3 linked regions of the Mus musculus genome follow. The protein of the gene in region 3 binds, or shares a complex with, the protein of the main gene of each other region. Links are inferred from orthologs where the notes say so. Each region holds a gene or a part of one and is shown on either strand. Other genes may lie near its edges.

Region 1 (4,351 bases), on a different chromosome or scaffold from region 3:
ATTAATCATAACCTACTTACTGTTGTCAGAACTCAGAAGATAGGTAGTAACTATCGCCCAAAGGCCTAAGAAAATAAATGTGACATTTTAGTAACTTACTTTCTAGGCAGATCTATGAGTTTTGAGACCAGCTTGGCTGACAAAGTGAGTTCCAGGACAGCCAGGGCTATACAGAGAAACCCTGCCCCGAAAAATAAATAAACAAACACCCCCACCCCCAACAACCAGACATGCACATAGTCCCACTACCAACTGGGAAGATGTATGTGGCACTTGCGCATCTGTTTCTATCAGTATGACTATTACATGATCTGGCCATTGCCTAGCTCTTTGACATACCACGTTCTCTCTAGTTCTCCCTATTTGAAGATAAGGAAATGGAGGTGCAGGCTGAGCAACTTGCCCCTTTATATACTGATATGTGGTGGAAGTCAAAATTTGAGCCTATTAAATTTTGAACTATTTGTGCTCTTAAAATTAGACTATATTAACAAATATCTTAGCAACATCTAACACGATCAAAAAGTAACCCTGATAGACACTCAAGTGTTGGACGTATGTATCACATACTCGGCCAAACTACCAGGACAGAAGTGAAAGTACTGTTTATCTAAAAGTAACATGTGGCGGATTCATTTCTCCTCTGCTCAACAAAACAGGGATTTAGTAAATAAAAGAAAGTATCTACTCAGCTAGAATACTCATTTGGAAACAGCAGTTCCATTTTTTAAACAGAGCTTCTCTTAAGGGAGGGAATGCAAATGCTTTCAAATATCTGTATAGAGAAAACTCGGGAATTAAACAAAGACTTCCAAAGTAAGCATCAAAATAAACACTGTAGAAAAATGTCTAACAATGCTAGGAGATTTAAAAGCTGCTAGTCATATTTATTAAGCAAATTTCTCCAAATAGTAGCATCCAAAAAGGTGATGCTTTTTGTCTTCATCAGCTGGTTAAAGGTTACAGGCAACAGGGTAAGAGAACACAGAATGGAAACATGGCCACTACTTTAAAAGGCACAAATCTGTTTGCAGAATATGGAGTAAATAATGAAATGGTATATTACTTACAGTAGAAAGAAAGTATTCTGAAACTACAAAGGGATTCGTGTCACAAAGAACTTACTTGTTGGCTGATTGACTAAATCAATTCATAAAAACAATTATTTAAAAAAGAGCCCATGTTTTTTTTTTTCTGTCAATAAAACAGAAATCAAGAATTTATTCAGTCCTTTTTGATAATTTTCAAAGCATTCTGACTTTTTTCATTTTGCAATTTAATCTGTTAAAACAATTTTGGGGGTAGTCATTACTTAGTATTAAGCAATTCTGACACAAAAATCCCTCCCTAGGGAATTAAGTACTAGTGGGAAAACAAATTAGGATTACAAGGTGTTCTGAAAAGGCCCAAAAAAGTATTAACAGGAAACCAAGGAACAGAAATATAAGTGACTTCAAAGACAGATACATAATATACACTAAAAACAAGAACTAAACTCAAGTCTTTAACACAAAATCTGATATCCACAAAGTTTCCCTGTATCACACACAGTATGACAATGTTAAGGGCTCTCCCACCCCCCCTTTAGAGACAGGGTTTCACTGTGCAGCTCTGGCTGGCCTCAAGCATTTTCAGTGCTGGGATTAAAGATATGTGTACCTCACACCTCTCACAAGGGATCCCACTTCTGTAGTTAATGCCATACAGACTGTATGTGTTCTGATGTAAACAAACAAAAACACACTTCAAAGCTAGTTTCAAATACCTTGCATTATTAGTATTTTGCCCCTGTTAACTTCTAGAGTCGGTACATTGTCATGTCACCATAGCAGATATGGGCAATGAACATTCCAAAATAAAATGTACCACGCTGGGAAAACGCTGTTCAGCTCTAAAGTTTACTAGTACAACTAAGTCTTTTGAGAATCAGGGCCCACCATCTGGCATCATAGGCACAGAAAAAGCACTACAATTTCATAACTGACATTTTTGATGAACTGTCGAGGGTCTCCACCTCTTTAACAACAACTTGAGGAGGAGAAAAATCAAGACTTTTCTGATGTACCCTTTCTTCAAGAAACAATGTTTGTTCCTTAGTGGAAATTAAAGCATCCTAAATATAAGGGGGTGTTTAAGAGCCCCAATGCGAGTACACACTTAACTCTAAAGTTTTACGCTTTCAGCGTCCATAATTACAAAACTCCAGTTTTATTTTCGCAGTTACCCAAACAGGGCAAATAACTTCAACAGCTGATTTTAAATTCCAGGAATTCACTCATACAGAAATGCACAGCTAGAGCGAAAACTTAACGACCTCAACACTAATAGTTCCATTTTGGACTTTTTTTTAACTTAAATATGGTGGTTTATCCTATTGTTTCTTTGGCGAAAAGTTCAGTCTCCACAGAGAGAAAAGTTTTGGCAGTATCTTGGGGCTGAAAAGAAGGATAAAAGAAAGAAAAAAAAAAAAAGCCCAAATTCTCCGGTCCGGTAAAAGCAATCGTCTTGAACTAGGAGTGGGACTGGAGTCGAGGGTTCTCCAGAGGCCTCCCCACCACAAGACATCTTTAAGGAGGCTGTAAAAATCTACTTGGCCCACGTTCCTTCAGGGGTTCCTCCGCCCGTCCAGCCACGTTTCTGGCTCGCAGGAGCAGACACCGGCTGGCGAGAGGGCGCAGGAAATCACCAGCGGGCGGTGGCGACGGGGTCCAGACACTTCCCGCGCAAGAACGGGAAAGGGGGGGTAGCCCGGGGCCTAGCCGCACTGGACAAAACCAAGGCGAATCCTCGGGGAGAGCAAGCTGCGGGGCCGGTCACCTGAAGTGGATGTGTGAATCCCGAAGTAGGGTCCCACGCCGTGCTGCTTAGTGGCAACGAGGAGACTCGGAACACCAACCCCGGACGCCGAAGCTCCTCAGCGTGCGCTTCGCCCAACCCAGCGCGCATGCGGAGCCACCTCTCACTGCGCAGGCGCCGACAGAAAAGGATCCTTCGTTGCCACTAACCATAGAGTCTTGGTCCTCCTAATATGGGCGGTGTGAACCAAGGGACGAGCTGAAGAGTCACTGCCCCTGGTATTTATAGATTTTTTTGCGGAGGGAACTTGCTAGGTTTAAAGGAGAGGTAAGTTTCTGTTTCTTGCTCCAGGATGATCGCTTTAAGTTTTAGTCAACCAAGAGAGGGCGCTGTGACGAATGGCGGAAAGCCGAGGAAGAGGAGGAGCGTGATCCTCTCCTGACCCATCCCTCAGAGCGTGCTGGGTGCCGGCGACTCGCCGGAGGGAGGGGCGGTGGAGAGACCCGGAATTCCGGACTGTGCGCGCTTCCACATCCGGGCATTCCGTCTCCTCCCCCTCCCTCAGTCCTCGCCCAACAGGAACCGGAAGTGGGAACCGGTTTCCTGGTTGCCTCTTAGCAACGCAGTTGTCAAGTGACCCGGTCAGCTGACTCCCGTGGAGGCGGGCACTGGGGTAACCGGTTCTGGAGGTGTTGCGGTCCCGATTGTCTCGCCGGGGGGCCCGAGCCGAGTCACCGTCAGGATGTCGGGCAAAGACCGGATTGAAATCTTCCCTTCGCGAATGTAAGTTAAAGACTAGGACAAGCGACAACCGTGTTCAGGCACATCTTCCCGGCGCGCATTCCTGCGTACCCTTGGCCACCAGCAAGGTTCCTTGGTTTCTGGGTCGCTCCTTGAGCTTTCCCCAGGGTCTTCGTTTCCTCTGAGTTCCGAGCGAGGTTTCTTTCCAACGCTCCCCTCCCCTGCTGTTTCTGAGAGAAGAGGCCGGAGAAAGTGGTTCCAGTCCACAGGAAAAGGGGGTTCACCTGCTGGCAGCTTTTGGAGGTCGATGCCTTTACTCACTCATTCCGCACACCCTTTGAGCCACACACGGAGTTTACATAACTGAGCCGTCGGCGCCATCTCTACCTCCCAGGGCTCATCATTGCTGAGGATTGAGATGTAGACGCTGAGGTCTGACCAAAGCTCCCAGACGGGAAGTTATGTGACAGGGAAGCAGCTAGAAGGCCCCTCAGCCAAAGTGACATTGAATGTGTCACCCTCTCGCAGCTGTAGGTTTCAGTCTTGGATCCCGTCAAGTGTTATTTGCTGTGGGAAGATATCCCTGCATTTCTGAGGTATTCCTATAGCCCTGTGATGACTGCACTCTTTACGTCTAGCAAGTGTCACTCATGACACTGTCACGCGGGTATTTATTTGGGCTGTCTCCTGGATGAAGGAGGCATCTTTTTAATGCATAGAAGGTCCACAGAAAATTGTTCCTTGAACCCTTGCTTGGGATGTGCTCAGTTACAGGCCGCCTTTCTGCTTTGGGTTAACATCCTTGTTAGGAGAA
Region 2 (3,647 bases), on a different chromosome or scaffold from region 3:
TGCCATGAGGACAACGTGGTGATGGCTGTGGACAGCGCCACCAACAGGGTTCTTCACTTCCAGAAGACCCAAGGCCTCCGGCGCTTTTCCTTTCCATTGGTAACTGGGTGTCTGGGGAAGGAACTCGGGTAGGAGAAGGCGGAGCTGCGAGGAGAGAGGTGAGCTCAAGCCTCTGCCTGCCACTTCTCCCTTCAGAGCCTGTTCCAGGGCAGTGGAGACGGAGTGGAGATTCGATATGATTTGTTGGACTGTCACATCAGCATCTGCTCTCCTCAGGTGAACTCTCCAGAACAGGGCTGTGTAGCCAGAGTAGAGCTCTCGGGGGTCTGTAATTGCTCCCTTTCAAGGCCAGGGTATGCATCTTTTCCCTCTTTTTCTGACTTGTTGTATAGTAGAGAGGTACCATTACCTGACTCCCAGTATGCTGGGAACCAAATCTAGGGTTTTGTCCCACAGCCATTTCTGGGTTTCATAGCTCTCTGGGCTTGTTACTTGTAAAGTACTTAACCTTAGCGTGCTCTGTTTTCCTCACAGGTAGCTCAGCTCTTCACAGACAATTTTGACTACCAAACTCGAGATGATTTTGTACGAGGCATATTAATGAATGAGGAGGTGAGAAGAGCTTCCGAAACCTCTAGTAGAAAGGGTTTATCTTACTCTGGTAGCCTTTGGTTCCCTTTTGTGTTTCATTAAGCCTGAGAACGAAAGCTCTGGTCGTTTGACTATGTCAGTGAGAGGCGCTGAAAAGGCTTAGAAAGGTGACATGCTTGGGGTTCGTCTTCCTGCCTCGCTTGATTGGGTAACCACCCCTTCTCATTTAGGTCCTAGGAAACCAGATTCACTTGCATGTGACAACTAGGGAATATGGTGCCCGGGTCTCCAACCTACACATGTACTCAGCTGTTTGTGCTGACGTCATCCGCCGATGGGTCTACCCTCTCACTCCAGAAGTAAACTTCACTGACAGCACCACCCAGAGCTACACTCATTCCCGACACAACATCTACCGAGGGCCTGAAGTCAGCCTGGGCCATGGCAGCGTCCTGGAGGAAAATGTGCTTTTGGGAGCTGGCACTGTCATCGGCAGCAACTGCTCCATCACCAACAGTGTCATCGGCCCTAACTGCCATATTGGTGAGCACAGGTGGGGAACCCAGCAGCGGTCCTATAGATACGGGGCTGCAGTGTGTCTCCAGAAGCTAGGGAGGATGCCGAGGGACAATCCTATGAACAGGAAACTAGAGTGGCTATCATAAGGAAGGAGCAGAGGCATGGAGAGGTGGTTCAGTGTGCATTGCTCTTGCAGAGGACTCAGATTCTGTTCCCAGGATTCATAGCTCATAACTCAAGTGCAGGAGGAGCCAGTGACCTCTTCTGACCTCCTCAGGCACCAAACATGTGCTTTGTGTGCATACATAATTTGGGCAAAACACTCACACACATAACGTTAAATTGACTAAATCTTGGGCCAAAGGAACAAGAAAAAGAAAGAGTCCTCGTGCTTGCTGGTGCACACAGACCGAGTGCTGGGATTAAAGGCCTAAGCCACCACACACACCCACTGTTGCCCACACTTACAGTCCCAGCACCAGGAGATGGAGGTAGGAGGATTACAAGTTTGAGACCATCCTAGAACTGTATATCGAAATTTGTCTTAAACAAAATGGCAGGAGGGCAGGACAAAGGAAGTCAGTTGGCTACAGTTGTATATGATCCCATCCACTCTGGAGCATAGATTGCCTCAGGGCTGTATGGCCAGCTTGGTTTTTTTGAGACAGGGTTTCTCTACATAGTCCTGGCTATCTTGAAACTCTGTAGACCAGGCTGGCCTTGAACTAACAGAGCCGCCTGAGTGCTGGGATTAAAAGTGAGCACCACCACAGCTCTACCTAGTCTGTGTGTGACTCTTACATTCTGAAATGTCCTGTGTTCACATTTGGAGGCAAGTGGAGTTAGTGTGTACTAATGACCTTTGTCCAGTCGTAACAGCTTACAGAAGGCTTCTGCATGTGCTAGTTCTCCTGTCCCAGTAACATCTAATGTAAGGCAATGTTGGGACCTAAATGCTAGTTGTGGGCTCTTTTTTTTGTTTTGTTTTGTTTTGTTTTTAGAGATTTATTTATGTATGTGAGTACACTGTTGCTCTCTTCAGATACACCAGAAGAGGGCATCAGATCCCATTATAGATGGTTGTGAGTCACCATGTGGTTGCTGGGAATTGAACTCAGGACCTCTGGAAGAGCAGTCAGTGCTCTTAACTGCTGAGCCGTCTCTCCAGCCCTCTTTTTTTTTTTTTCTTAGTGTATTTATTATTGTTTTATGTGCATTGGTGTTCTGCCTGCATGTCTTTGTGGGGCTGTTAGATCCCCTGGAACTGAACCTACAGACTGCTGTGAGCTGCCATGTGGGTACTGGGAATTGAACCCCCGTCCTTTGGAAGGGCAGCCAGTGTTCTTAACCGCTGAGCCATCTTTCCAGCTCTCTCCATGTTTTTTTTTTTTTGCTCTCCTATAATCTTTGTATTCCTCTTGACATCTCACTTTGGTTGAAGAATATGAGACTAATAATAGTAGTAGACCTTAAAAGGACAACAGTAGGATTCATATTCCGTAATACACAGAGAGGTGGAGTCATTGGGTTCTCCTTGTAGGTGTGAACATGATTGTAATAAGGTTTATGGTTCATTCTGAGAAATCCTGAGGGTTCTCAGATTGAGCCATACATATAGTGTAAAATTATTGTAAATTTAGTAGAGGATGGTCACTTTGCTCTTGGGGCTAACCTTGGAAGGGACTGAATGTTTCTAATGTCAGCAGGTAGAATATCAGCTAGATGGGAGCTGGGCTGGGGCTGGTGTCAATCAGCCTGTCCTCTGTGAAGGACTCTTTCGGATGTGGGACCCTGAGTGACCGGAAGTCCTCCTCATTCTGAGCCAGGTGATAATGTGGTACTGGACCAGGCCTACCTGTGGCAGGGAGTTCGAGTGGCTGCTGGAGCACAAATACACCAATCTCTGCTCTGTGACAGAGCTGAGGTCAAGGAGCGAGTCAAACTGAAGCCATACTGTGTTCTCACTTCCCAGGTAAGGCTTATTCAGACTCTGCACAACCCCAAAATTGAATAGTGATTGTGCCAAGTCAAAGGGGACCATATTTCCCCCTGTAAACAAGACTGCAGTAAGAGCCCCAGTTTCTCTAACCTTCAGCTTAGCTTAGTATAAAACCAGAGCAAAACAAAAAACATTGTTCTGATTGTCAAGACACAGTTCTCAGCCGGGCGGTGGTGGCGCACGCCTTTAATCCCAGCACTTGGGAGGCAGAGACAGGCGGATTTCTGAGTTCGAGGCCAGTCTGGTCTACAGAGTGAGTTCCAGGACAGCCAGGGCTACACAGAGAAACCCTGTCTCGAAAAACCAAAAAAAAACAAAAAACCACAGTTCTCCTCAGTGCACGATGAAGTCTGGGCTACTTGATTCTTTTTTTCCTCTAAGGTGGTAGTGGGCCCAGACATCACGCTGCCGGAGGGCTCGGTGATCTCTTTGCATCCTCCAGATGCAGAGGAAGATGAAGATGATGGCCAGTTTAGTGATGATTCTGGAGCTGACCAAGAAAAGGAGAAAGTGAAGCTGAAAGGTGTGAGGCTCAACA
Region 3 (3,229 bases):
TCAGGCTTAGGGGAGCACTTAGGCACTTGCACGCAGACCCATTGTTATGTATACTTATACAAGTAAATGGCACAAGACAGTCTATTTCATCCTGGCTGACCTAGAGCTCAGTAGATTGGCCAAGCTGGCCTCAGATCCAGAGATTCCACCTGCTTCCTAAGTGCTGGAAGGTGTGTGCCACCATGCTTGGCACGTACGGTATGCCAACCAGAGGGTGAACTGCATCCATGTTCTCTCAACATTTAGGCCAAGTCAGAACTTAGAGAAGCCCTCGACCGGTACGTGCAAGAGAAGATCGTGCTTGCAGCTCAGGCAATTTCACGATTTGCTTCTACAAAGATCAGTGATGGGGACGTGATCCTGGTATATGGATGGTATGGTCAGCACCTGAGTGAGAAAACTGGGGAGGGGACTGTCAGAAGAAAAGGCTGCCCTTGCCTTTGCAGACAGGCTGGCTACCAGCCAGTCACTTGAATAACATCTCTTCTCCTTCTCCATCCATATCTAGCTCATCTTTGGTGTCGAGAATTCTCCAGGAGGCCAGGGTCGAGGGCAGGCGGTTTCGGGTGGTGGTGGTGGACAGCCGGCCCCGGCTGGAAGGAAGGCACATGCTCCACTCTCTTGTCCGTGCTGGGGTCCCTACCTCCTATCTGCTGATTCCTGCAGCCTCCTATGTGCTTCCAGAGGTGAGGGTTCTCACAGCAAAGGAACTCCAGAGATAAAAGAGAAGGATAGAGTAACCCCAGCATAATAGTCTTACCTTGTGTTCTTTTCTTTTTTCTTTCACACTTATTTATTGTGACAGGAAATAAGGAATAGTGGGGTGGGGGTGGGGGGTGTTGAAGTCAGAAGACGATTCGGAAGAGTCAGTTTTTTCCTTTCTTTTTCTGTTTCTGTTTCTTTTTTTTTTCTCTCTTTTTTTCGTTTTTTTTTTTTTGTTTTTTGTTTTTTTTTAAAGATTTATTTATTATTGTATGTAAGTACACTGTAGCTGTCTTCAGACACATCAGAAGAGGGAGTCAGATCTTGTTACGGATGGTTGTGAGCCACCATGTGGTTGCTGGGATTTGAACTCTGGACCTTCGGAAGAGCAGTCGGGTGCTCTAACCCACTGAGCCATCTCACCAGCCCCTTGGTTTATTTTTTTTTGTTAGTTTTGTTTTGTTGAGACAAGGTTTCTCTGTGCACTAGTTCTGTAGTCCTGGCTGTCCTAGCGCTTGATTTGTAGACCAGGCCGACCTTGAACTCACAAGAGATCACCTGCCACCATACTCAACTGAATCAGTTCTTTCTTTCCACCATTTATGTCCTGAGGATAGAATTTAGAATGCCAGGCTCCACAATGACTTTACCCAGTGAGCCATCTCAGTGGCCCTTACCTCTTATTTATGCATTTGATTGTTTATGTTTTAGAGAGATAGGGTTCTCTGTATAGCCGTTTTTTGTGGGGAGAGGAGAGGAGTCAAAGGTCTCGTTATGTAGTCCTGGCTGGCCTGGAATCCACAGGGATCTGCTTGTCTTTTCTTCCCAAATACTGGGATCAAATGTGTGTGCCACCACACCCTACACTTTGATCCTTAATAGGAAAAAGCACCTAGCTTCTGGGTGGAGCATTTGGGTGCCAAGGCAGGTGGATCTGAAGGCCAGCCTGGTCTACAGAGTAAGTTCCAGGACAGTCAGGGCTACCCAGAGAAAGCCTGTCTCAAAAAGCCAACAGAAATGGCTGGTGAGATGGCTCAACCAGTTAAGAGTTTAACTACTGGCTATTCTTCCAGAGGTCTTGAGTTCAATTCCCAAGCAACCACATGGTGGCTCATGACCGTCTATAAGGCAATCTGATGCCCTCTTCTGGCATTTAGGTGTACGTGCAGCAGAGCACTAAATACATACATACATACATACATACATATTTAAAAAAGAGAAAAAGCAACTGCTACATGCAGTAATACAATGTAGCTAATACAAGAACATTATATTAAAATAGCAGCCATTAATAGAATAAGCAGCTTTGCTGTGATGATAAAAGATATTTTCTAAGAGCAGCAGCAAATGAGGTTTGTTGCTTACTGCTGCTGTTCTGGGCAGAAGTGGGGAACTTTATTATATACTGAATAACATGACTTTTTTTTTCTCCATGTCCACACTGTCTAAAACAAACAGGTTTCTAAGGTGCTATTGGGAGCTCATGCACTCCTGGCCAATGGATCTGTGATGTCTCGGGTAGGGACAGCACAGTTGGCCCTGGTGGCTCGAGCTCATAACGTTCCAGTACTGGTCTGCTGTGAAACGTACAAGTTCTGTGAACGTGTGCAGACTGATGCCTTTGTCTCCAACGAGCTAGGTAAGCAGAGCAGAACGGAGGCTTCCAGGTACCAAAGAGAACTTGAGACAGGGAGGAGAGATTAGCCATGTCCTCTTTGCTAAAAGGATGTTGACACCCACTTGTCATTTCAGATGATCCCGATGATCTGCAGTGTAAGCGGGGAGACCAGGTGGCCCTGGCTAACTGGCAGAGCCACCCGTCCCTCCGGTTGTTGAATCTGGTCTATGACGTGACTCCACCTGAGCTCGTGGATCTGGTGATCACAGAGTTGGGCATGATCCCTTGCAGTTCTGTGCCTGTTGTTCTTCGAGTCAAGAGCAGTGACCAGTGAAGGGAACAAGGGTCAATAAAAAGCTTACTCCCTACTCCCATGACTCTGCTGCCTTTGTATCTTTGAGCATCTCTACCTCTTAGGTCAGAAGCCCACACTCTGCTACCTTCATCACCTACTTGAACTTGTCTATGGAAACCCTTCCAAGGTGTTTAGCTCCAGGCCAGTGCTTTGGAGCAAGATGGTTTGGGTAGGTATCAAACCTATTCATAGACCAGGCAGAGTGGCACTCCCAGAATTCTCCTTTAATCCCAGCAAGGGTAGCCAGTCTCTGTAAATTTAAAGGCCAGCCTGGTCTACATTTGAGTTCCAAGACAGCTAGGGTTACAGAGTGAGACCTTGTTTCAAAAACAACTTCTGGAGTCGGAGAGGTGGGTCAGCGGTTAAGAGCAGGGGCTGTTTTTCCAGAGGACCTGGGTTAGATACGCAGCACCCATGTGGTGGCTCACACCCATCTGTAACTCTAGTCTCAGGCCCTCTTCTGATCTCAGGCACCAGGCATGCTTGTGATATACATACACAAAAACAAAGTACACTTACACATAATAGCTGGACATCCTGACACTGCCTTTAAT

Evidence for each region.
Region 1: the proteins of Eif2b4 (region 3) and Eif2s1 are in contact, whole or in part, in a cryo-EM structure (PDB 6O81), measured with the Homo sapiens proteins. The link is inferred for Mus musculus from reciprocal best matches to the Homo sapiens genes EIF2B4 and EIF2S1. Residues at the interface, in NP_001029288.1 of Homo sapiens: Asn245, Glu246, Glu247, Arg250, Thr285, Ser520, Ser521, Asp522; in NP_004085.1 of Homo sapiens: Met30, Tyr33, Met45, Arg55, Arg57, Arg75, Glu79, Lys80, Tyr82.
Region 2: the proteins of Eif2b4 (region 3) and Eif2b5 are in contact, whole or in part, in a cryo-EM structure (PDB 7D46), measured with the Homo sapiens proteins. The link is inferred for Mus musculus from reciprocal best matches to the Homo sapiens genes EIF2B4 and EIF2B5. Residues at the interface, in NP_001029288.1 of Homo sapiens: Arg357, Tyr393, Pro396, Glu397, Lys466, Arg467, Glu469; in NP_003898.2 of Homo sapiens: Arg163, Lys294, Arg339, His340, Glu357.

Annotation. Positions count from the first base shown.
Region 1 is NC_000078.6:78,860,647-78,864,997, reverse strand, and holds the start of Eif2s1 (eukaryotic translation initiation factor 2 subunit 1), read right to left. Parts: upstream 2,927-4,351; 5' UTR 2,818-2,926; intron 1-2,817. Other genes in the region: Atp6v1d (V-type proton ATPase subunit D), read left to right, coding at 3,539-3,579. UniProt on the Homo sapiens protein: Member of the eIF2 complex that functions in the early steps of protein synthesis by forming a ternary complex with GTP and initiator tRNA. This complex binds to a 40S ribosomal subunit, followed by mRNA binding to form a 43S pre-initiation complex (43S PIC).
Region 2 is NC_000082.6:20,501,709-20,505,355, forward strand, and holds part of Eif2b5 (translation initiation factor eIF-2B subunit epsilon), read left to right. Parts: coding exon 1-99; intron 100-195; coding exon 196-276; intron 277-534; coding exon 535-612; intron 613-821; coding exon 822-1,134; intron 1,135-2,936; coding exon 2,937-3,082; intron 3,083-3,490; coding exon 3,491-3,632; exon of another isoform or gene 3,633-3,647. UniProt on the Homo sapiens protein: Acts as a component of the translation initiation factor 2B (eIF2B) complex, which catalyzes the exchange of GDP for GTP on eukaryotic initiation factor 2 (eIF2) gamma subunit.
Region 3 is NC_000071.6:31,187,026-31,190,254, reverse strand, and holds the end of Eif2b4 (translation initiation factor eIF-2B subunit delta), read left to right. Parts: intron 1-246; coding exon 247-374; intron 375-508; coding exon 509-686; intron 687-2,160; coding exon 2,161-2,341; intron 2,342-2,454; coding exon 2,455-2,654; 3' UTR 2,655-2,697; downstream 2,698-3,229. UniProt on the Homo sapiens protein: Acts as a component of the translation initiation factor 2B (eIF2B) complex, which catalyzes the exchange of GDP for GTP on eukaryotic initiation factor 2 (eIF2) gamma subunit.